Linked DNA regions of Drosophila melanogaster. The protein of the gene in region 1 interacts with the protein of each later gene in a pairwise test. Each region holds a gene or a part of one and is shown in the gene's direction. Other genes may lie near its edges.

Region 1 (7,446 bases):
CAATTGGAGCCTGAGTCCAGTGGCCAGCTGTTCGAATCTGACTTAATAGATCCTGTTGCACAGCGAGAAATGTATCCCAAGTTGAGAGCAGATAAGTAACCGCTGGAGCTGTGATCCTGTTAGTGCATCTAATGAGAATCATATATATAGCTATACAATAATAACTTGTGTATGATAAATGGATTCCAGATTCCAAAGAACCCCAAGACATAAAATTCAATACGAATCAAAATGTATTTTAGATCTGTTTAAGAGGTGGAATAATACTACCCGTCGTATTCCCTAATCCCATCTCTACCATCGAATCCTCGATCCAATTTCTTTCCGTACAACATCTGGAGTTGGTCCGAGTTTTTCGAGTGGTCCACATTCACAGAAGTCAAAACTCACCCAACAGGAAGTATTTGCATGTGCAGATCCCGGGATCCCGATCCAAACCAAACCAAACCGAACCGAGCCGATTCGCCAGCGCGTTCGCAGAAAGCGAAAGTAATCATCCACCGCAGCGGCCACCGGGTGGATTATTGTTTGGTTTTGCCCACGGGCACGCATGGTTAGAAGGGGCGCGGGTTGGTCGGGTGGCCGGGGGGGCGTGGCATGGAAGCTATGGCATATTTATCGCTCAGACAAATATCCATTATGCAATTTGGCATGGCTAAAACGAGCAATTTGCCGCAAATGCAATAACATCCCGGCGAACGGGGTGGGGAAAGCCGATGGTGCGGTGTTTTGGTGGTTCGATGGCTCGGTGGGGCAGGATGGCAGTGGTGCGCCCTCAAACGCAGTAAAAGCACACTGGCCTATATATACACATGAAAGCCGAGTGAGTGAAAGAAAAAAACAGCGAGTGATACTAATGGTTTAACCCGTTTGGAGCCACTTTTTATTAGGTTGAACTATAATACTCTGTTTATCTTGTTGCCAGACTAAAGATATAAAATCTTGTGGAGACTTAGTAGTGCATATATCACTTACCCCATTTTGATTATAGATTATATTTCTGAACGGAAGCTCCTTGTTCAGCCTTAAATGGGTTAAGCACGCCGCAAATTGAAGCTCTTGACAGTTGAGTTAACAGCACAGCACGGCAGCAACATGCAACATGCAACAACCAGTTGCAACAGCAGCTGACGTGGCCAGCGTTATGTCAGGGGCATTGTGGCATTGTAGAATGGGCAAAAACAATACAAATCCACACAAACACAATCAAAATGGAATTTCTTCAAAATCGTGTGATGCATTGCTTGATTAGCGCCACATCTACTGCTACTGTTAAGTAATTGCCCGAAATGCGTTTTATTGCAAATTTACGGCGTACGTGTTTCGTGCTCCATGCGTCGTGATGTGAGTTTCGCTGGGGATACATCCAAGACTGGACTCCTGTAGCTCCAACGCTGACCCACATCAATTGACACCAGCGACGACAGTTACCACTATTACCACAGAAGACATTCAAGGTCGATTGGTGGAGATGTCTTCCAAGCGATATGGAAGGGCCAAGAAATTTGGATTAGCGTGACAACTTTGTTTTGTCTCCGGCCGCACACGTTCACTTTTTGCGGCGGTCTACAGAAGGCCGCTAAGTGATCCAGTCAGCGGCGGTATATGTGCTACTTGGTCATGCATTCGGAATGATTTTAGCTCCACTCCGCGCTCTGTCTTGCGATTATGATTATGAAATGAACGTAATTTGCCCCGTATTACACAAAGCCCCGCCAAGTCAAAGTTCGATCGTCTGCCATTGTGGACAACTGAAGCATGGACCACCGCTCCCAGTCCCTCTTTACCACCGACCAGAGGGTCTTAACCCCTCGTAAACAGATGCCAACGACGGTTAATACAAATCACATATCACTACACCATGTTGGCCATGTTAACAGTCGCGCGTCCACTGTTATGCTTATTTTCGCTTGGCCGTTGAAGTTGCTGCTGCTGTTGTTGCTGCTGCTGCTGCTGCTGTTGTTGCTGCACCGACGTCACGTCTTTCTCGTGCAGCGCAGTCGGCTTGCAGCAACAACACAAAGCGCTGCTGGCGCCCGGTATAAAACGGATGAGTCGCAGCCTGTGGTTATCAGTCACCACCTGACAGTGCTCCGGTTTTAGTATCGCCTTTCGAGTGCAGCAGAGCTCAGCCCAGCCACCATGTCCGTCCTGAAAGTATTCGTAAGTGCGACAAGGATAACGTTCGAAAAAGTGTTAAGCCAAACCTCCGCGGAATGGAGCTGAAAAGGATTAAACTCATGTGGACTATCGTGAATAAAACTAACCAACTGAAACATAACAAACTCACTGAAAACTGACTTCGATAACCGAAGTATTGGAAATATACCACCAAGATCGCCTGATGGCTTAAAAAGTCTCGAATAGATATTTCAAGAAACTGCGAAAGCATTTATTTTGCAGAAATATAAATTCACCCAAAAATATTAGTTTATGTTTATCAATCGCGGACTAACATTTCATTAGATTACTTAGATTTCACCAGAATTGAACATAAATTTTGAAGTGCCAAATTAAAACTAATCACACTGATTAGTTAGCTATTTGCGTTAATCTAGCCGGACCTAACTTACTAACTTCCTTATCCCCTTTCAGATCTTCGTCGCCCTCTTCGCCGTGGCCTACTGCGCACCCAGTCCCGGCTTCTTTGGCAAACAGTGAGTATCGGCGGCGATCTGCACCTGAACTGATCCATAAATAACCCGAGCGAATCGATAAAAATACCCATTTCCCGCTTTATGCTAAGCTAACGAGCGGTCGCATGGCTTTTTAAACGCTGCGACTGCTCCGTGGGTCTATGAAATATGTGTCCGATTGCGATCGAATTGAGCAATCAAAACGCTTGTAGCACTTAGAGCCCCAGCCCCCTCCAGCAGTCTCTATATGGTGCCCACCACTGGCTACCATTGAACTTAGCCGATCTCGACTTGGCTTGGCTCGCGGCTTAGGAATTTCGCAGGCGGCGGTTGGCATTTAATTCAGCGTAATGCGCGCATAATTGTGCGAATCAATTGCCAATTGCCAATAGCCAATATGCAATAGCCATGTCTGCCAAGACGCTGGGTTCAAGCAACTGATTAGCTAACAGGCGATGGTACATGGCATTCGATCTAACCGATTTCACTTTCGATCCGCAGCGAGCACCACACCATCCACGTGCCCTACAAGGTGCACACGGTGCACCACCATCACGTTCAGAAGGTCCATGTGCCGGTGGTGAAGCACGTGCCGGTGCCCATTTACAAGGAGGTGCCCGTGCACCACGTCCACCACGAGGAGATCCCCGTGCCGGTGCACCACGTCCATCACGAGGAGATCCCGGTGCACCATGTCTTCGATGACCACCACGACCACCACGGCTGGAGCTCCCACCACGGACACGGCTGGCTGTAAGCCATCTGCCCGCTGGCCTGCTTGTCTTCAAACCCACCCACTCAGCCAGTCCCATCTGAAGCAGCCTGTAAATACTGTACAATGCTAAGTTAATGAATGTAAATAAATCACAATTCGACTGTACACAGAACAATCCTGGCGTATTTATGGCAGGATTCCCTGAAGTGGAACCTTAGTGTTTGATGGCTCACAAGTAATCTAATAAACCAAATACTTTTAATGGGAATGAAATAACGATTTTGTTATTTGAGGCTTTTTAAGTTGTTGCGATTAGGATAGATGGTTACTTTTGAAGACTCGAAACTTGCTTATCTCTATATTTATATACTATATAAGATGGTAGAATATAACCTACTTGTTAAGTAATATTTTTCAAAAGATTTTTGTTATCAGTGACAGAACTTGTACACATAAAATAAAAACCCCATATACTCAGATACTCAAATACTAATACCCTGATAGCAAATAGCCACAAATAGACACACTACCACATTTGCACCATGATATATCTACAGAGTTGCTGCTGCTGCGTGGATCTGCGAATCGGAACCATAGCAATAGGGATTTTGCACATTATAGCGGATATCCTTGGAGGCACATTTGTTGCTTTATTTGGGGAGTCGGGTAAGTGAAGCAGGATACTTGAGAGCAAGGATATGATCCTAACACCCATAGGTATTCCCGATTTGGGTCACACCCTATTCATTATCTTCGTTATGCTGCACATCCTGAGCTGCGTTTTCCTGATCATCGGCAGTATACGGGTGAGATACCAGTACAATTGATTAGTTTCAAATTATAATACTTATGATTTGATCTAGTTACGGAGCAGCTGGATGCTCTTCTACATAATAATGACTATGATCATGGCGGTAGCAATGCTCATATTGATAGTATCCGACGTCATACTCGCCGTTTGTTTCTGGGTAATGATCACGTATGCTATAATGTTCTGTAAGTAGCTAAGTGTATCTAAGATTTCACAATCCCTTAATTTTTCCCCATTGCTTCAGTTATTTGCCTTTATTCCTGGCTAGTGGCGTACTCTTTTTACGCCGCCTTAGGAGGACCTCTCTTCATCTGAATGTGATCCATTGCCAAGTAATAAATTGTACTGTGATTGTAGCAATAAAGTACTTGAATTTTTACAAATCGATCTGCATTTTAAGTGGAATAATCATCGTAGAGTACCGAAATAACTATATCTCATCTCATTTGGTTCAATCGTTTTGGATTCCAAGAATTCGAATATTCCTTTTCATGCAATAAGTTTCCCATAATCACTTCCCATTACATTTGTTTGTAAAATTACTTTCGTGAGTTGCACTTTTTTCACACACTGCCAAAAAAGAGCAAAAAAAATGGGGCAATGCTATATTGATTATAAATAAAGCAATGATTGCACGCATATTTCAGGTGAATTGGTCGGGAATGTGATAGGTTCGATTGGATCATTGCTCCATTAGTTAATCCCACTGCAAGACTGTAATTTGCAGTTGCACTTGACCTTGGGCCGGTCTCCCAAAGGCGGCAATTAAGCCGAAGTTTTGCAAGAACGACTTTCACAAAGCACTCACTTGACCAGCTCCGACTGAGGTCGACCGCCAGTCCGCGTCCGCTCCGCTCCGATCTCTCCCTTCCTACGATCTCCACGAACCCGATCCGATCCGATCCGGTCCGGTCCGTCCACTCCGCTCCTTGCCCAAGTACTTACTGTGCTGCAAGTCAGGGGCGTGGCAGGGCACATTCTCGGGGCATGAGCTCTCTTGGTTCCTAGTTCAGCACGCTTTTCAGCTAGAACTGGTCCTAGGGCAGTGGAAATGTTTAATTAAGTATATACCTTTTACACTTTCGGAACTCTTATCAATTTAACTTGAGAATTTGGGATATTTCCGTCATATAATTCAAGCTTAAAGTAGCAGGATCATTCCTTTCTGTAAATCAAGTTTCATGGAGCAGGATCTTAACAGTCTTCTTTCATACCTCATTTAGCGCACTTGACTGAATGAGTTTCTGATTGTAGACAGTTCAAATTACTTTATTTAATTATAAATGCTTACTTTGGTCAATTAATCTTTTCTTCATTAGTAAGAGTTCTATGAACCAACCAACAATTACATTTTGTAATATAGTAAGAAGTTGTAGTTGCGAATAGAACGATTTGTATACCCCCATGTATCTGCAGCTATCAACCATAGAAAGTCCCATTTCTTTGACCAACATTTTGCATTTATTTCGGCGCCAACAACAAAGAATTTCAGATTAATGTCCACTAATTGAGAACTGGGGAAAGGCGAAGCGTTAAAGGAAGCTGCGGCTGGCCGCAAGTGAGCCCTAGGCCGCCCTAGTTGCAGTACGGGAAGTTGGGGCACTGGTGCGGCGAAACTCCGGCGGGATACAGACGCTCCGTCCAGCCAGGTAGAGGAGGAGCTGCCACGGGAGCACCAGCGTGTCCGGCGTTCACGTCGCAGTAGGGATAGTTGGGGCAGGTCTGCGGATTGACGCCAGCTGGATACTTATCGCCACCGGGTGCGGCAGCAGGGGCTGCGTTCCACGAGGGCTGTGCCTGCCACTGTGGCTGCGGCTGGGGGTTCCACTGGGGTTGAGGTTGCTGCCACTGTGGCTGCGGGTTCCACTGTGGCTGCGGCTGGGGGTTCCACTGTGGCTGCGGGGCACCCCACTGCGGCTGCGGATTGTGCAGGCGCGCATTATCACAGATGGGGAAGTTGGGGCAGTCCTGCGGATTCACGCCAGCCGGATACTGGGCAGCAGGTTGGTGTTGTGGCTTGGCCACCGCCAGGGCCACGAAGGTAGCGAAAAGCTTTGAAAAGATTTTAAAAAAATATGGAATTTTTAAATGTAATAAGATACATCTGTAGTTTGAAAAATATCTGGAACTTAGGATCCTCGGATCTTAAGAACTTCAACTAAAATGTTGCAGATTTGGATTCCAGCTCCACTTAGTAGTTAAAGGAACTTTTTCAGACGCTATCCTTGTGGGCAGAAACTTGGCTCAAAGGGCACTTACCAGCTTGCAGAACATGTTGGCTGAGGTGAGTGGGTGGTTGGTAGTTGTGGAGTTGGTTCTGGTGTGGGGCTTATGGTAATCCTTGCCGAATTGGACTATGGAGTCGTAGCTCAAACTTCCAATTGGGTTCCTGGTCGGCGCTGCACTGCTGCTGCCGAGCCCGGCCATCAAGCTTATATAGCGGTGCTGGCTAGAACCGACTCTTGGCCGGGTCTCAATCTCAGCCAGAGTCTCTCGGCCAGACTCGGTTTCACTTTCATTACTGCGGCTGCTGTGCTTGTTGCTTTTGCTATTGCTGCTGCTGCAGTGGCTTTGCTTTACTTTTGCTTTTGTTTCTGTAGTTGACTGATCTCGCGCATATTTTACTTGATTGGCCCAACAGATTATTATGAGTCTTTGTTGTGGAGCGCGGACAAATAAATCGAACGGGGCCGACGGACAGATAGATATGTACAGACATACTCGTGCATACATACGGGTAATATGCTTAAACACCCAACTATGCAAACACATACGAGTGCGCACTCCCCTATCGAGTTACCGACAACATGCCGTCATTAGCAATGAACTAAGCCCCCAACTTGCATTTCGGCCAAAAAGAAATCTCCAGCCTGGGCTCGTACGGGTACATTTGACAAAGTCGCGTTGGCGTTTGGCCAATTTTCGATCCGCATTTGCCAGCGGATCAGTTCGTGAATCACTACGCTCCGCTCCGATTCGCATTTGGACTTGGATTCGGATCGTGTAAGAGGCACAGGTCGCCACCACCATCGCCATCGGCCTGCCATTGGTTCCACCATCGCCTTGGCATGCCACTGCCACATGTCGCCCGGTCTTGGTCTGCCCGGAAGGCAGCGGTGGTCCGCGTCATTGCAAACGGGTTTCGGTGCAGCGAACTTGCACTAGATCTCAATGCACAGCATTCGAGAGGCGGGGTCGCACCGAAGTTCACTTATAGGTTCTAGGGCTGCAGGATAGTTATCTAAATTCTTTGGTTTCAAAACCATTAAATCACCTCATGCCTT
Region 2 (8,471 bases), on another chromosome or scaffold:
AATGGATGAATCATAAAATTCACACTGCCATTTGATGGGCTTTGCTTTGTATAAATGTCTCAGGTCGCTAGAGAAACTATATCGTTTGGGGAATTGAGTGCAGATTTAGTCTTAGATATAATACATTTGCGTGTTGCTTGCAGAATTCCAAAGAAGGCAACTGTTCAAATTCTGCCTGTCCATTCTCACACTTCCTTTAGGTTTTCATTGGAAATTGTTTTTGAGATATAGATAGTGAATTAATACTGATATGCCTGAAGGCATGCAAATGAAATTATCCTTGTCAACTGGAAAAATCGAATTGAATTCTAAGAAGTGCAATTTTTTCCTTACCTTTTTTAATATCTTGTTTTATGTAAATATACTAATTTCACATTCCTACCTTGGTTGTTGTTCATTCTCAGAATATGTGTGTATGTGCTTTAAAAATTAGCTCCTTTACGAATCGATAACATACAAGATAAAGGAAATGCTGTGTTAAGCACCTGCACTAAGGTTATTTATCATTCTGTTAGTGCAAATTCCTTTCAGCTTGTTATATAAATTCTCAATGACCTCCTTCTCCATCCACACAGCCCTTTTAACTTTCAATTATTACAACATAGACACATTAGCCACACAGTCCAGTTCAATCATCGAAGTGCTAAACACTATTTCACCATATCCCAACAATAAAAAAACAACTACGGCAAATAAGACTGACCCATTTAATGCCGGAGAAAGAGAAAAACACATTTTTGCGTTCATAAATGGGCTGCGTGAAATATACGGCAACCGGATCGGTTAAGAAGCGTCAGTAAATTAGCAAATATGTGACTTGGCCATTGCGAGAGTCTGATGAAAGCTGGGCGCAAACGTGAAGCCGAGGGCTCAGACCACCGGTAAACACCAGGGCCCCAGCTTCATTGAAGGCGTGTCCGTGGGGACCCAAAGCACCACTTTTTGGTTTCAATAATCTGAGACTTTTTAGGATTCAAGACAGCCCAAGGAATGCAGTTATAAGTGATACCGTGGACCACCCCGGTTATGTAAGCCAGCTGATTTTTGTCGCTGTGCAGACCTAAGCCAATGGGCCGACTGTTTACTCCAGGGCGCCCCTTTTTGGCCAATGGCCAAGACCAAGACCAAGTCCAAGTACGAGTTTCTCTCTCCGCGACGCCAACGTTGACGGATGACGACGTCGCCGGAGCGGCGCTGCCGAAAAAAAGGCAGACCGAAATGAACATGTTCACTTAACAAACAAGTTGACTTTGTTTCCCCGCCGTTCTCTAGATTTATGCGGCTGCGTCTGTGACTCTTTTTTTGGGCCCTGTCTCCAATTCGGAGTTCGCTCTTTTCGCGTCTTGGCCATAACTTCCGCCGTCTCTCGCCGGGCTTTATTTAATTTACTTTTGAATTGTTTTGTAATGCGCACCGACTGCGACGCCGACCGAGAGGCCCAATATATAAGGCTAGATGTCCGGAGACGCATACATCAAACTCATCTCAGCGCTCCCTCAGAAAAGCAGCAGCCCGAAGCCCAGAATTGAAACCCCGGATCAGCTATATTAGCAAGGATTAACCGCGTCTAAATACCAATCGATCGAAAATGAAAGTGTTTGCCATCGCTTGTGTGACCCTCTTGGCGGCCAGCTGCGTCTTTGCCGCGCCCAGTGTTCAAGACAACCAGGTCGAGGGCGACAATACCCTGGGCCGGGCCGCCCGGTATCTGGGCGCCTGTCTGGAGAGCGACGACATGGCCACCTGCCTGGCCGTCAAGGGCATCACCGCACTCAACCGCGCCGCCAGGAGCAACAACATCGAGCTGGCCAGTGGAGTCACCTTCCAGAGGTGTGTGTTTTTTAACAGTGAAAGTGCCTGGTTCTTGAAACAAAAACCAAATCGAAAGCGAAACTGTAACCAAAAGAAGAACGTGCCCGAGATGAAATCTTCAATCCGTGTTAGTTAAAGTAGTGATTGCATCACAAAAGTTGACTAGGAAAGATACTTAAAATGAAATTATGATATCAAGATATGTAGGCAATTAAAAATAAGTTTAGAGAAATTAGTTATTAGATAGTTATATTCTGATACCCATTTTTTATGGTCTTTATAGATTTAAATGGTGAGCCAAGGCTAAGGCTAAAAACACTTCATAATTAATGTTAATTATTATTGGAATTCTTACATAATTCCAAAAATTATGACAGTAAATTTAAAAGTGGTATAATAAGACATTAGAGGCATTCGGCATATAAGTTGTCATAAAAGTTAAGTAAATGTGAAAATGTATTTATAACTTACAATATCATTTTAGGGATCCCGCCAGTCCCGTTTCCCGCACGGGAAAATCGATGAGCGAGCAGGATGTCTATGCCGAGCTGCCCCAGAATGCCGATGAGCGTACTGGTCGTCTAGTGGATCTGGCCGTCTCTAGTGCCGCCGACTTCCTAAGCACCCACAACCTGGAGTTCAAGCTGCCCGCCGAGACCACCCAGCAGGTGGCTCGTGCCCTCGATGAAGGTGGGTTTTGACTTGGGATACGATAAAACATGGTTACCTAACATCCAATCACAGGCCGTGGCAAGATCAAGAAGATGCTGGGACCCGTGGCTCTGGCCATTGGCGCCAAGCTGTTCGCCGTCATTCCCCTGGTGCTCGGGTTTCTGGCCCTGCTGACCTTCAAGGCCGTGATCGTGGCCAAGCTGGCCTTCTTCCTGGCCATTCTGGTCGGCGGATCCCGCCTGCTGGGCGGATTCGGCAACAAGTTCGGAGGTAACTCCTTTGCCGGAGCCTACAACTCGAACGCATGGTCCGCACCCGCCAGCGCCGGCTGGAGCTCGGGAGCCTCCTCGTCCTATCCCTATGCCCGCAGCATCAGCGAGGATGGGTCCGATGCCCAGCAATTGGCCTACGCCGGCCAGCAGCAGCAGTAGAAGCGGCTGGGAGACAGCTCAAACAGATGTGCCTTCGTTTTGAAACCTTTAGCCTGTAGTAATTTATTCGAAATGTAATTAACTAATTTATTGACACACCACGCACACATCACCCGCAAGTCAAGTCGAATGTATGAATAAAACCAAGAGTATTGCACCCGAAAAAAATATAATCCGCAAATCCACGCACGTGGACAGTGCTCACCTGTGCCCAGAGACTTTCCCAGTTTCCCAGGGCTTAATTGAAATGCTGACAGACCCCAAAACAAATATGTGGAACTTTGCTCGCTGGGCGGCAACAAGTTTGCGGCTGGCAATTAAAACTTGTGGCAGGTTCTGTTTCTGAACACAAAAAAAAACCCAAAAGAACACAGAAAATGTTGAGAAAAAGAGCTGATAAGCTGGGGATTTAGTTTTTGGCAAGTTGGTGGCCTGCTCATAATTGGAGTTTCTAGTGGCCATGTGACGGCCGTTCGGCATGTTAATTGTTTGCCAGAAACTTTCTACTTATGCTCATAAAAGTGTCACTTTGCGATTGAAAAGAGATATATGCGGCGATGTGCTACAATTCAGCTTTCTTTCACAGGCAGATTTAGAAGCAATTGAAATAGAAAACAAGCCACGAACGACAGTTGACAAAGGGAGAATGAAATCGAAAGCGTTGAAAGCGCCAGAGTAACTAACTGGGCCAAATTGTGCATTAAGTCACCACCGGCGGGGCATACCAAATACGTGTGGGTCTCGCAGATCCACCACTATATTCTCCGCTCCATCGTGAGCCCTGATGGAGCTAATGGAGAGGAACAACCGGCCAAGAATCTGGCGCAGGCAATCCCAACACGTAGCACCGGCGACTCCATTGAATGCCAATTAGGATACGGATAACGGTCGAGCACCCGAAATCGGGCCACTTGCTTATATAAAATATATGTATGGTATATACAAAAAAATAATATTCAGCCGGCCGACCACTGGCCACTTCCCTTTCGTTGACATCGCGACGTGCGTGGAAATATGGTCAAGAAACTGCCGGCCAGGTAGCATACGCATATGCTTTGCATAAATTGCTTTTGGATTTTTGGTATTGCCGTTCGGTATTGTTATTGTTATTGCAGCGGCGAGCGGTGCGTTTTGGATTTTTGGCCTGCCACGCGATTTCTAGCCACAAAATTGGTCAATCGACGTCAAATCGAAATGGTATAAAACGCGGGGGCAGTGCATTCAATTAATCACAAAGCGATTCCCGTTCACATCGGCAGCACTCACCAGCTCCAGGCAGCCGTCCCACGGATTATAACCTACCCAAAGTCAAGACACCCCCAAGTGCTAATAAAAATGTGCGCGAAATTCGTATGTGTAGTGCTGCTGGCCAGCCTTGTGTGCGGTTCCATGGCCCTTCCCTCCCAGGACAACACCGAGCGGGACCTGGTCAACATGCTGAACCGCTTAGACAGCGAGGAGTCCGTCGCGCTGTTCGGCGGTCTGAGGATCGACCGGTCGGAGTCGGGCCGTAGCTTCGGTGCATCCAAGGCCGTCGAGTCCTTCGAGGACCGCGCCGAGCGCTACCTGGAGACCCACGAGCTAAACCTCTCCTTCTCCGGCGATGAGCAGGACGAGAACTCCGAGAACGAGTACACCGGACGCGCCATGGATGGTGAGTGATCTTGGTTTCCTTTATTTGAAAAACAGAATATAGTTTAATCCAAAGAAAAAAAAGCTATTTAAGCTACTTGCTTTTAAAGTTTTCATATTGCGTTGAATATCTTAGATACTTAATATTAGGTCAGAATTTAAAAATTTGTATGTTTTTGAGAGACATAAATCGATAGAATGGTAGTAAATACGTGAGTTGATAGCCAAAGAATTTTGAAATAATTTTAAACGAGTTATAAGTTACATTTTTATTAATTACTACAAAAACAGAGGCATTCGTGCGCATACGAGAATAGCTTTGGTAAACCGTCCTGGCTCTCAAGTCGTTCCTGTTCTGTACGGTAAACGAACACTTCAAAGTCTACTTACTAAGGCTAAACGTACTAAGGTCCACTCTGCTGTGCAGAAAGCCAACTGCCAAAAGCAAAACTACTAGCATACTCAGTTGTGCTGACGGGAAGCGAAGTGAAAGCTTTACCTCGACTGCCAGGCCTTGAATACTTTTAGGAGCATGGCTAAAACCCCGATTTCTCTTTACTTTCTCCCTCCCGGAATAAACAGAGTCCCGCAGCAAGCGCATGAAGAAGATGCTGCTGCCCCTTCTTTTGGCCCTGAAGCTGAAGAAGGCCGTCGTTGTCAAGATTATGTTCACCATCATCAAGTTCATCTCGCTGAAGGCTCTGGCCATCTCCTTCCTGGCCCTCATCCTGGCTGGTGAGTTTACTTTTAATGATCTCAGGAATAGCACTTTTTACCCACGTTTCCCGCACAGGTGCCACCTTCTTCAAGGATCTGTTGGCCAAGAAGAAGGAACACATCACCACTGCCTACATCACCGGCAGCCCGCTGAACGCCGACATCGTGCACTCCGACTGGAGCCGCAATGGTCAGGCAGGTGCCGCCGATCTGGCCTACAACCACTATGGTCTGGCCCAGCCCTTCTAAGCCGGAAAACACCCACCGATCCATCCATCCCACTCTGTACTAGCCTCTATCTTTCACCTGCTATATCTTATCCTACCAAAGCGTCTCCCTTCTTCAACTTCCCCCCACTTCATCACCATTTCCACAACCTATCCCTCTAAGACTTTCCTGAAGAATGGCCTAATTCGTAGTCAATAATTATTTAGTTACATTTAGTTAGTTAGCTGCGACATACCAAAAAAAATCACAAAAAAAGAGAACTATTGAAACGGTCCCTCGACTCTTGGCTAGCCCAAAGGACAATGCTTAAGGATACTACGGCCAATCAATGATTGCGCCATAATTATTGCACATTTCCCCATCCACATGTCTCTTGGCGGTCGTACATGTCACTCAGGTTCATCGAAAGCAACGAAGATTATGCCTGCTAAAGAGCTTACTTACTAAGTATTTATTCGTACAACTTAAAGCAATTGAATAAAAATGATTCATCAAATGCAAAACCATAGAATCTTTAAACTTTTTGCCCGAGTCGGAAACTTTGGAAATGTACAGGTATTATACTTTTAAAAAGGCAATGACTTGTATAATTTCCGGCTCAAAGCTTCCTTATTGAGTCTCAAAGGTATTTTCTGAAAAATCACTAGGAAGAGTGTGAGCATCAAGCTGGAAAGTGAAATTAGTGGCTTTTACTTAAACACTTTCCTTGAACCTCTTGCAAAAACAAATCCATTGAAGACACATTTCCACTTAATTATATTAGCAAAGTTGAGTTTGGGCCCGTGGCTTTCTTTGCGTCAACTTCCTAATTGATGTTTAATCAAATGTCCCACTTGGCGTTGGTATAAAAACACCACTCATGCTGACCAAAAGTCAACAGAATCAATATGAACGGCTTAAGCAACAAACTCATTGGCTGTCAGATTAAATTCGCCTTGATTGTTGGCCTTTTGGTATCCTTGGCCTGGGCACTTCCTGTCGAGGATGATGGAAAACCCCTCATAACTGAAGATGATGCTGTGAACACCGAGCAGCCAATCGAAGCTGCCCCTGTGGTTGAGGAAGTGGAAAATGTTGGACAGCTCCGATTCCCGCCTTTCAATAACAATGGAACCAAATTGTTCGAAAGATTTGGAGAAAAATTCAGGAACAAGTGGACCACAACTACAACCACAACGACACAGAGTACATCAGGATAAGCTTCATAAGAAAAATTAAAAGGATCAACACACAAAAGATTGTCACATACTTCACATAAATATTTATTTAAATTCATTTTATTATGCCCGAAATAACTTGTCTTATCTTTACAATAAAAATACAACGTATAAAAGCATATAAGAGTATGTTGAAAACAATATTTTTGTCAACAAAAATGTTTTAATAAAATTAAAAACACTGTTTTTAAGTGAGCACTGTAGTAGTCTAGTAGATTGCATAATCGTTCCAAGCACCCACTATAAGCTCAGATTGGGAAATAAGACACCTGCTAGGCAAAAAGCGAAAATCAAAAGTCGACCAACCAATTGGTCATTAGCACTGCATGTAATCTGAATATTAAACAGGTCGTTCTCGGCGTGGAAAGATAAATTTCTTCATGGCCAATACGAGGAAAGAAAGTAGCGAAACGACGCTGGGTCAGACACAAATGAAAATGAAGTAATAATTAACAATGAGTTGTTAGTTAGTCCCAGTTAGGCAGGCAAAATGTTGGGTCTTAATTTATGAAGGTCCGAGGCACGCGACGTTTATCAGGCACTTGTAATTACCTGAACTCCCGAGTCTGGGAGAGTTTTCTTCTCGGACTCTTGGGGAATTCATTGGCTGGAACTTTTGGTGACAGAATTAGCCGGCCGTTTCGCAAGACCGACCTCCGCTGGCGCAGAGGAAAGCGAAAGTGCCGCCCAGTTGGACGCAGCTGACTGACGCTGGGAAGAATTTCGACCACAAATCGTTTGAGTAATTAGAAAAGCACAAGGGCCCCAATACGGACGGAGTACGGTTTGGTGAAAGGGAAATGCGAATGGAAACCGTGGCAGCGGGTATAAAAGCGAAGGCCTTCAAATCGAGATGATGCAGACTCACAAACAGTCTCCATTGCAGTAGATAGCGAAGATGTTGCTGACCAAGACCGTGAAATATCTTTTTTACTTGGCCTTATTCGCCTTCATGTGCAAATATGCCACGGCTGCCAGTGTCCAGCCCACCGAAGTGCCTGCAGTTGCTCCGGAAACCATTAGAATACCCCAAAGGGCAGAGAGCCTTCTCAGTGGCTGTGAAGCATCTTCCTTCAGTTGGATGTGCCTCAAGATCGAGTTTGTCAAGATCATGGAAAAGCTTGCCGAACAGGAGGAACTAAACGTTTTGCCAGGAATCAGCGTGGTCAAGGATGAGAACGCCACCGAACTCAAGACATCGGAGCTCATGGCAGGTATGTTCTTGAAAACACAAAAATAAAGACAAAAAATTTTAACTTTCGACAATATACAGAAGTTGCTCGCAGCTATCCCAGTGACCCGAGCACTCGCTTGAATGGCTATATAGTAGCCAAACTGGAAAACCTTCTGAGAACGCGGTTCCTACGATTTCGCCTGCTGGATGACAAGTCCCTCGTAGAAGGTCGCAAGCACAAGTTCGGCAAGAAAGGAGGCTTGGAGGCCCTAGTGGCGGCTGGAGTCATGATGAAGGGAATGCTTATGGCCATGGGCCTCGGGGCCATCGCTCTGATGGCCGGAAAGGCTCTGATGACAGCTTTAATGGCCTTGACCCTGTCTGGAGTCCTCGGTCTAAAGAGCTTGGCCGGTGGCGGGGGAAAGTCCACCACATACGAAATAGTGGCTAAACCAATTTACACCTCCAGCCACTCGCACTCGGTCACTCACGAAGATGGAGGTCACTCCCACAGTCCCCACTTTGCCGCAGGAGGTGGGGGTGGTGGTACTGCCAGTGGCTTTGGCTACGGAGGATATGCGAGGTCCC
Region 3 (9,173 bases), about 13 Mb from region 1:
CTCCCTGCAAGCACTGGTACGTTGGCCGAATAAAGATAAATCCTCCATGCTCCCGGGAACCCAGAAAATTGGCATTTCGCGGACTGGTGAAAGCCAACTCATGGGTGCCGGACCGGGCATGCTCCGCCTCCACGTAGATCTCGTACAGGTGCTGGAACAAATCTTTCGGAATTGCGACTTCCCCCTTCACGTATTCTTCTTGCTTGGGTTGCTTAATCTCCAGCAGAATGATCAACTCATCGCTGCCCATATGATGTAGTCCGGATGTCGTAAAGTTCAGCACCCATCGATTCATACAGCAGCTCACTGGGGGTTAAAGAAATGCCATTTAGAAAAATTTAGATTAGTTTAAAGTTCCAAAATACTGACTGTTAACAATCTTGACCAGCACAAAGAAGTTGTTCTTTATAATGAACTTGAGCGTTTCGTTCTGCAATCGATCTAGGAGTGATCCATCGTTGCGCACTACTTTGTAGTCCACCTCACCGCCCTCTTTGCTGCTTATACAAATTGGGGGCAGGCCGTTCTCCTCCGGCGGCAGATAGCAGCCTTGGGCATCTCCGTTTGGCGGTAGTTTGCGATTCCGTGATGATTCCGCTTTGCGACGCGGCGAGGTCTGTGCCTGCGATTGGGATGAGGAGCGACCAGCTGGAGGATACAAACACATTGATTACATAAAAACGATTTCGATAAAAGTGAAGCTTTCCCTTACCGCTTGTCTCGGTAGCCGATAATGTGGCAGCCGCTGCGCTTGGTGGAATGGAACCGCGGAATAGCTGTGCCACTAGGCCCAATGTAGAGCTAGTGTCAATACTGCGAGGTGGCTCCTCTGTCGCAGGCGTTGGTGGCTTTTGACCAGCTCCCGAGCCGCTCCTGGATAGTCCCCTTCGAGAATGCTTGGACTCGCCCCATTGCTGCTCCATGGTACTGGCCAGTTCGCTGCCGGGCGCAATGCCATCACTGAACATAACACTCTTTCGCTTTCTTTGGCCCTTTTGGCCATCCGAACTGGAGGAATTGGAGGAGCTGCCATCGGTTTTTTTCAACACACCCACGGGCACAATCACACTAGGTGGCGGAGCACCCGGTGAGTTGGCCACCTGACGGTGTGGTGGTATTGTAGAACAATATTCCATTGGATTGTTTGGGTTTGGCGAACGAATGGGAGTGGGCGGCAATGCCGAACCCGGTGCTGACTCAGAATTCAATCCATTAGCCTGCCGCTCAGAGAGAATCATATAACACTGCACACAAACCCTAGACTCGGGTTCGGTGGCGAATTCCAATCGGAATCGTTGCGAACAGCAGACAGAGCACAAGACCTTTCCGCAGGCGCGACAGTGGTGACGCCTTTTGATCATGGTGAACTTTTGCTGACATTGCATGCACTGCCCGGCCATGTTATCCGGGACCCATATGGGTGGCACCTTGCCCAGATTGGCATGCGGATCGCTGTAGCCCACTGCTTCGTAGATAGGACTTTCCTCGTCATCCTCGCCGGGTATAACACCTACTCCTGCCGCTCCTTCCCTGACTTCGGTAGGCTGCAAAGTTTCCTGTTGAATTTCGGGATTTTCATCTTGAGATGGCGTGGAACTTTCTGCCTGGCAACCATTCAAATTTAGGGTTTGTGGTCGCTGGGGGCGCTGCTCTTGGGTTTCCAGGGCATCCGTTGCCAGGCTGGCATCTTCATGCTCTCGATCGACCTCCACTTCGCCATCTAGTTTCCTGCCCGAAAGGGAATCCGATTCCGTGCTGCTGAAACTGGAGGCTACATCTTCTCCCATCGCGGTAACTGGTGTGGACTCCGGCTGCTTCAGATCAGCAAACTCCACAGTGGAGGCCTGCGAAAAGTTGTCCACGTTCATCTGATCGTTCGAGGTTGTCTCCTGCTCATCGGATAGAATCCGCACCGACTCCTCCTCGGTCACTGGCGAGGCGGAGCAGGATTTCTCATCGTCGGGCATTTGCTGATCGTCCGCCTGGTTGTCATCTGCATCCATCTCTTGCAGCATGCTGTCCAGTTCGGTGTCCGAGATCTCGTCCATGGTGGAGCAGAAGGTCAACGGTTGACTACGCCTGGGATGCTGCTCCTGTGGCAGCTCCACATCCTCTTCTTCCGTTTGTACTGGCTGCTCCATCTCTTTAGGGACCGGTACTTCCGCAACAGATGCTGGCTGAAAATGTAACACCATTATTAATAAACTATACTATATGTCAAGATAGTTTATAACCTTAATTGATTTATGAAGCTGATAATATTTTTAAACTAATGCGCTACACTTATTAGTCATTTACACAAACAAAGTAAGGTAATAGTACTTACTAAATTGGCCAATGGGACATCTATGCCGTTGGTCATTTCGGTTTCGGGTTCTCTACTGGGCGACGATTCCTCCGAGAGCTCCTCGAGGACCTGCCCGAGAACAGACGATGCGGTGACCTCCTCCGGCAATAGGGATTGCGATTCTGTGCCGGACGCAGTGATGGAGATGGATGACAATCCAACTGCTAACTCCTCTACAGTTTGTTTGGATTGCGTTGGCGGTGGAACAGCCTGATCTTGGTGCTGGTCCTCATGCTTGACCTGTTCCGGCTGTTGATCCTGTTCCTTTGGCTCCACCTGAACTTCACTCGTTTTCTCATCTTCGGGGGGCGTTGCTAGCTCCTCCGAGTGACTGCCATTGCTCACGGGCGACGGACCCGACGAGAAGGTGGAACAGGATGAGGTGGTCAGCGATTCGGAGGACGATACTATCGTCTGGCCGTTATTTTTGGACGCCTGTTCGCTGAACTTGTGGATGTCGTCTTCGTGTTCCGCCTCCGTTTGCCAGTCGTAGCTGGGTAATTGGGCATCCACCTGCAAGGACTTCACATTTTCCCTGTAGTCATCCAGGCTGTTGAAAACCTGAGAGACGCCCACAAAGGACTTTCCAGACGCCGGTGTTGGTGTTACTCCCGCAGCTCCCGATACTCCGGCGCCAGCTCCAACTCCACTGATCGATGCACTTGCTCCGTCGCCCAGAAAACGGCCAGGATTTGCACCTGCAGCTGCTGCTGCCGCTGCATTTCTACTCAGCTGCTCATCGGCGGCAATGCTCAGTTCCAGATTGTCCAAAACCTGATCAATGTCCACCAAGTCCATGGCCACCAAATCCGCAGAAACCTTAAATAAAATTGAACCAACCAGGTTTATCTGCTTGCATTTTCACAAAAACGCAAAAGAGAAAAAACAACACAAAAAGATGTGGAGAAAAAACGGTCTTGTGATTCATACCTTTTTCACACCTCGAATATAGTCATAACAAGGCAATGAGGAAAACAAGGACGTATTCGCCTTTAATAAGCAATATTAAGCACCTGCAATCACCTTATTTACTTTGTTTTCTTCTCGCTAATTTATTAACAAAAACTCGGTGACGAAAAACATTGTAAGAAACTGCCTAAAAATAGCCATGGAAACAGTGTTGCAAAGACAAAAAAAATTAAGTCAAATTAGCACCTTTCTCATTTAGTATTTTATGATGCTATCTCGTTCTATCTTTCTCTATAATCTGTTACTGTTACAATGTTAACATAAACCGTAACACCTTTTCAAATTTGAAAATAATAATAGGTAAAAGCTGTCGGGTCCTACACGAATATGAATGCTTCAATTGTTCAATATTAATGCGTATGAATTCAAACAAATCTATTAACATTGGGTCTGGGAAATTTTAGCCGCCAGTCTGTGTTTTTAAAAAAATGTTGGGTTGTACAACTGAACTAACAGTATCACAGAATAACAGTGAACGTACGAGCAACCGAAACAGTGTAAATCAGTGTAACCGCAGCTTAGCTCAAGAAAAATACTATAAGCATTTAAATATGAAATCTTGCCGATTTAAATGAATTCAAAATGTTAATTATATTTGATTGAATTATTATTTGCCTATCAAACATTTAATAATTCTATAATAATATCTTAAGCAAATCATGTAAACAAACAGTAACATAAGAATAAAACCAAAAAAATTCAAGATGTTAAAGTAACATTTTTAATCGCGAAATTGTAACAGAAATATATAAATTTTAAATGAGTACGCGTTTCGGAGTGTCTATTTAAGTCATCACCCAGCTAAGCATAAGAATTGGTATTTTTTAGGAAATGCACAGCTTGGATAATTGAGTCGTTTCTGCATCTGGTAACATTGGCCAAGTCATTCGAAAAAATTTTACGGAGCGAAGAAGGCACGGTTACGTCCGGATTTTAGCGCGATTTCGTGTCTGTTGTTTGGTCGGCACTCGAGTGTAAAGAAATTTGTACATCCCCGAAAAGAATCGCGAGTGCAATTTTGTAAATACGGAGAGGAAAAGGTGCGCAAAATAGCAAAAATAAATGCAACGAAAATAAACGCAGCAAAACAACGGGCAGAAAGATACGAAAAGAAGAGGCAGGCGAAGCAGAGGAGAAAAGAGACACATAAAGAAGCCGCCATAGCGGCGTTAGTGGGAAAGAGAGGGCGCGAGAGGAGACGGAGAGCGAATACGAATGCGTATGGTGTAGTTGTAGTGGTGGGCGGTCGTGTTTTTTTTCGTTGAAAAATCTCTGGATTCAAAGGGAAAAACAGAAAAACAAAAGGAAAATACAGTGTATTATACGAAAAATTTGTTAAATTTTATGTTTTTAAAATTATAAATTACAAAAATCGAATTCGATTAAAACACCCACACACACACCAATACACACAGTAGTTGCGCTGTTGTCTCCTCTTTATTTTTGTGTTTTTCTCTCTGCGTAAACGTTTTGTTTATTACCCCCGCTCTTCTACTTCCTTTCTTTGATTTTAGCCGCGCGCGCATACGATAAATTGTTGTTAATTTTACAGTGTGTAATGCTTAATTAATACCCTGTCTCTCCAACCAACGCTATCTCTTTTGTTTTGCAATTCGATTGATAACACATCGGGAATAGTGTGTGTCTGGAAAATAAATAATCATAATAATCATAGTTTCATGTGTGTATTTAAACAGCGTTCTTCTAGTGTGAAACCAGTTTAAAAAGCTGCAAGAAATATATATAGCTCAATATATATATTTATATATGTGTGCCGCCGCCAGTTCTAATCTTTAAATCAATAAACAAAACTGGAAGCCATTAGCTGAAATCACAACAACAGCAACCGCAGAAGAAACCAACGGGGAAAATGAAGCCAAAGCAGAAGATTTCCGTAGAGCCGCTATTGCTAGTCGCAATTCTCATCGGAGTTCTGGTAGCCGCCACCCACGCTCAAGATCAGGTAAGATCTCAAAAATTACACCCGAAACTACCAAATGTTATTAGTTTACGTTGAGATAAGCCAAAATCAATGGCCAACTTCAAGTTTACCTGGCCAACCGAAATTTAGCCGACTTTGTGATAATATTAATGTGGCTTTAATGGCCATTGAATGCTTATTCATATTAATACGTCACACAGCTTGATTAATTACGAATGGGTCATTATTAGACATTGCTATCCTTTTGTAACGACATACACATGCCCACCAGTTTGGGCACAAAGTGGAGCATTTAAGTGGCCCCTTTCAAAAGCATAGTTGCGTAAGCCCATTGCTGCTTGTAACTGCTTACCAATTAAATCGAGGCAGATTCAATCAGCAATCCGAACTCCCAATTTTCGCCACCTTGAGAGGGTTCGGAACTCCAAGTTCGGTTCGATTTCTTGTTCACTTCAGTTGTTTTTGCGGTTTGCGGTTGTCCAATGCTGTTTCTGTTGTTCTTGTTGTTCTTGTTGTTGCACTTATCATGCAAAATTCGGCAGCCCCAAGGTGGATACATGTGTCATATACCCATGTACCATGTGGCAGAGGCTTGACGGGCAACGGGCATGGGCATGGTCAATCTCCAAGGCATTGCACTGAATGCAATTTGTGGCTGCAGATAATGAAGAGGAAAGGCCTCCATGTCCCGATGAATGTAAGCCGTAAGCTTCTGGCTCCATTGCTCCACTCCTTGGCTTCTTGTAGAAAAGACATTAAAAACGTCTGCATTGCGAACGCATAAATATGGCAGTGAACTAGACGCACAGACATCGGCACTGTGCAATATATATATATAGATAGTTATACATAGATATAGATATCGATATAGAGGACGAGGCGGCTGCTGGTCAAATAAGGCTGCAAATCCGAAATGGTCATCGACTCCAACGCATCGCATCCAGCCATCCATCGATGTTGTCGACTGTTACCCATTAGCGATGAGAGATGAGTGCCGCCACAGAAACAGATATGCCGCCACGTTCATATGGGGAATGCTACTCGGAGATATAGAGATGATTCAATTTCCGACGAATTCCTTTCTATTCGTCTCTCGTGCTTTCTTTAATCACCTGCTCTGCCCAATGAGATCATTTGGTGTCTGAATGTGCTGTTTTGAAAATTGTTTACAGATTCGAAACTGGCCTCTTTGGTGTTTTCCACTCATCACACAGTATTTTTGTCATTAATTGAGTAGTTTAATTTAGATTTACCGATTGTAAACTCTGCTTTTAAAGGGTGTTAACTTAGCAAAACCGGTTAAATTAATGGGCAAGTTGTGTAAATTGCTTAAAACAATTGCCAAGTTGACATTTATGTATTAGTGAAGGCAAAAGTTGGATTTAAACTGCATAATTTCACTTAAATTCTAAAAACTAATTTGAAGACTTGAGTTGGATTACTTATCAGCTTTTCTTGTTATCTAGCGCAATTACTCACATTAAGATTTATTGGCTGATAATAAAACCAGCTAATGAATCAGGCCGCAAGCCCAAAGGGCAATATTAATGTCTCCTTCTTATCTTCACCAAGTATTTTATGTAATTTAGCACATTTATTACATTCCGTGCTTTCTTGTTAGTTAATTATCCGAAATTAGAAGTTCTATTGAGATACGGTAAAAATTTAACAGCCAGTTTTCTTCATTTTCCGCAAAGAGTTTACAGTTGCATTTTCCACAGCTCATCACTGGAAAGCACTTCTTGATTTGGGCCTGGGTTCTGGGCCAGTTTTTGATACAACTTCTGCTACTGGTCACGATGATCTTTGGCATCGTCTGTTGCCAACAAAAGCATCCGGCTATTGCCAATTTCGATGGCTGTGTTTGCCTCTTTCACTGCCTGTTTGTTTGTTTGTTTGTTCGCTTGCCTGTTGGTTTGTTTGCCTTTATTGGTGTGTGACTTATTGGCCCGAAAAATTTCTACACACACTACTTGCACATAAATAGTGCGATGGCCTTTTACCCCTTCGCAAACGCCCGCCCGCCCCTCTCACCCATCTAAAGCAGTCTGTAATCTTGTTTTTGCCGTTCCTTCCATCTTGTGTCCTGTTTTTGGTGTTTGTCACTTGTTTTTGCCAAAATTGGCATTCGTGGTTATGCCCCCCTCCTCGGCTCCTTCGTAGCTCCTTTCCCTGTCGTCGAAAACATTTTGAGAACGTGCCCGGAAAATTGATGAGCAGCACGGCGAGAGATGGCTATAACTTCACCGGAAAGAGGGTGCAAGTTTAATGGTTGTGACTGCTGCAAGTGCCACACTATCTATTTTCCGTTGCTAGCTGTTGCCTCATTTACAAAGTTGGCATAAATCCATTATCTATGGCCATATCCTAATGTCCCTTAATACGAGCGTAAAAACATTTTAATTTTTTTTTTTTAAACATTTTAATATAACAATTAGGATATAAAGGTAGTAGCATTTTTTTGAATGTAACTGTAATTAAGTGTGGAAGTTAGTAAGGGATAACACTCGGTTGCATCCTCTCACCTCAAAGGTGTGGAAACCCAATGTACCACGCCTCCTTTTGCATTGCTCCCTCCCGTTTTCCGCATCCCTACCAACTGCCTGCTGTTTGTGTTTATTTTCCTTTCTTGGAATACCGATTCACATTGCCAGACGGCGACAGACAGCGATAAGGTTCTGCCGATATTGGGTTTTCCATTCGATCGATTCTGTGGATCTGGCTACCTAAACAACAAACACTTCCTTGAACTGGGTAATCAAATTCCGATTTTTGTCCGCTGTAGATGGTGAAGGAAATTTGAATAAAAGATTTTTTTAAGGTTTTATTTGAGTTGCAGATTTGATCGTTGCTCTGAATCCAAGTTGAATCATTAAAGTTGCTGAAACGCAAAGATTCTTTATTTGCATATTTCTTTAAATTGTTTATCCTTAAATATTTACATTTTTATTTCTTAGATTATATAATCTTTTAAAATCTATATTATTATTTGGCTTTGATTCTTGCTTAGAAGCCCATCCCACAATTTTATTCAAATTACGATTTATTTTCCGTACACATACCAGTTTACTTCTCCTCCACTCATTCATTTCATTCAATCTTTGTTCATTACCTTGCCCATATGTTCATTATCAACCCCTCTCGCTTCCCCTGGTTTCCACCATATGCGGTTTACATTTTTTTCAATTATTATTCACGTGTGTCTTTTTTCATTTGCCTTTGCATCAGCATTCAAGTCTCATGTTGTTGTTGTTATGCACTTGCAATTGCTCGCTGCGTCTCTTTCTATTCCTCCTCCCACCTTTTCGCCTTTTGTCGTGTCTCACCTTTCTGTAAATTATGTTTACACGAAGAGGCAAAAAACGAAGTTTAGATACCCTTAAAGTTGTAATCATTTATCCCAATATGTTGTATGTTGAGTGGAAAATATGTATCGGCTGTGAGTTGTTCAATAACAATCGACTATACCGGTCACTCAGGTAGTAAAGCGCTAGATTTATATGCATACAGAGTTCTTATAATCGTTACATACTATTCAACGAATGTAGTATACCCTTCAATCCACCAGTAACGGGCATATAAACAATGCAATTATCAAATGGCGACTTGGTGACAATGTCAAAAAGTTATCGTATATAACGAATAATGTCATTTTAAATATTTTTTATTAAATGTCACATGAGCTCATAAGCAGCAGATTAATTGCGGTAATCTAAGTTCAATTGAAAATCCCCACAAGTAATCTGCGTCAGTTGCCAATTAAGGCAGGCAAACAAGATCATGTGGAAAAGAGAGAGAGAGATACACAAGAGAGTGGTAAAAACATAGCGAAAGAGAGGGGAAGCACTTGTAATTTTGTTGTAACAAAAACATTTTGAATAAATTTCCAGCATTTTTTCGCTATCACTTGATCAA

Evidence for each region. Proteins that work in one complex are often made in the same cells at the same time.
Region 2: the proteins of CG43183 (region 1) and Osi15 interact in a two-hybrid assay, tested with the Drosophila melanogaster proteins (one large-scale study listed by BioGRID).
Region 3: the proteins of CG43183 (region 1) and Sdc interact in a two-hybrid assay, tested with the Drosophila melanogaster proteins (one large-scale study listed by BioGRID).

Annotation. Positions count from the first base shown.
Region 1 is NT_033778.4:8,588,428-8,595,873, forward strand, and holds CG43183 (uncharacterized protein), read left to right. Parts: upstream 1-3,767; 5' UTR 3,768-3,893; coding exon 3,894-4,017; intron 4,018-4,068; coding exon 4,069-4,157; intron 4,158-4,214; coding exon 4,215-4,347; intron 4,348-4,406; coding exon 4,407-4,477; 3' UTR 4,478-4,542; downstream 4,543-7,446. Other genes in the region: CG14752 (uncharacterized protein), read left to right, coding at 2,143-2,163, 2,596-2,657, 3,138-3,393; CG8736 (uncharacterized protein), read right to left, coding at 5,738-6,214, 6,422-6,436.
Region 2 is NT_033777.3:6,297,663-6,306,133, forward strand, and holds Osi15 (osiris 15), read left to right. Parts: upstream 1-4,141; 5' UTR 4,142-4,250; coding exon 4,251-4,569; intron 4,570-5,129; coding exon 5,130-5,282; intron 5,283-5,340; coding exon 5,341-5,513; 3' UTR 5,514-5,991; downstream 5,992-8,471. Other genes in the region: Osi14 (osiris 14), read left to right, coding at 1,589-1,830, 2,297-2,502, 2,557-2,915; CG46396 (uncharacterized protein), read left to right, coding at 6,380-6,691; Osi16 (osiris 16), read left to right, coding at 7,608-7,923, 7,983-8,471.
Region 3 is NT_033778.4:21,476,197-21,485,369, reverse strand, and holds the start of Sdc (syndecan), read left to right. Parts: upstream 1-4,193; 5' UTR 4,194-4,356; intron 4,357-4,991; exon of another isoform or gene 4,992-5,013; 5' UTR 5,014-5,186; coding exon 5,187-5,279; intron 5,280-9,173. Other genes in the region: Sara (smad anchor for receptor activation), read right to left, coding at 1-306, 370-648, 713-2,177, 2,327-3,145. UniProt on the Drosophila melanogaster protein: Cell surface proteoglycan that bears heparan sulfate. Required for axonal and myotube guidance, is a necessary component of slit/robo signaling and is required in the slit target cells.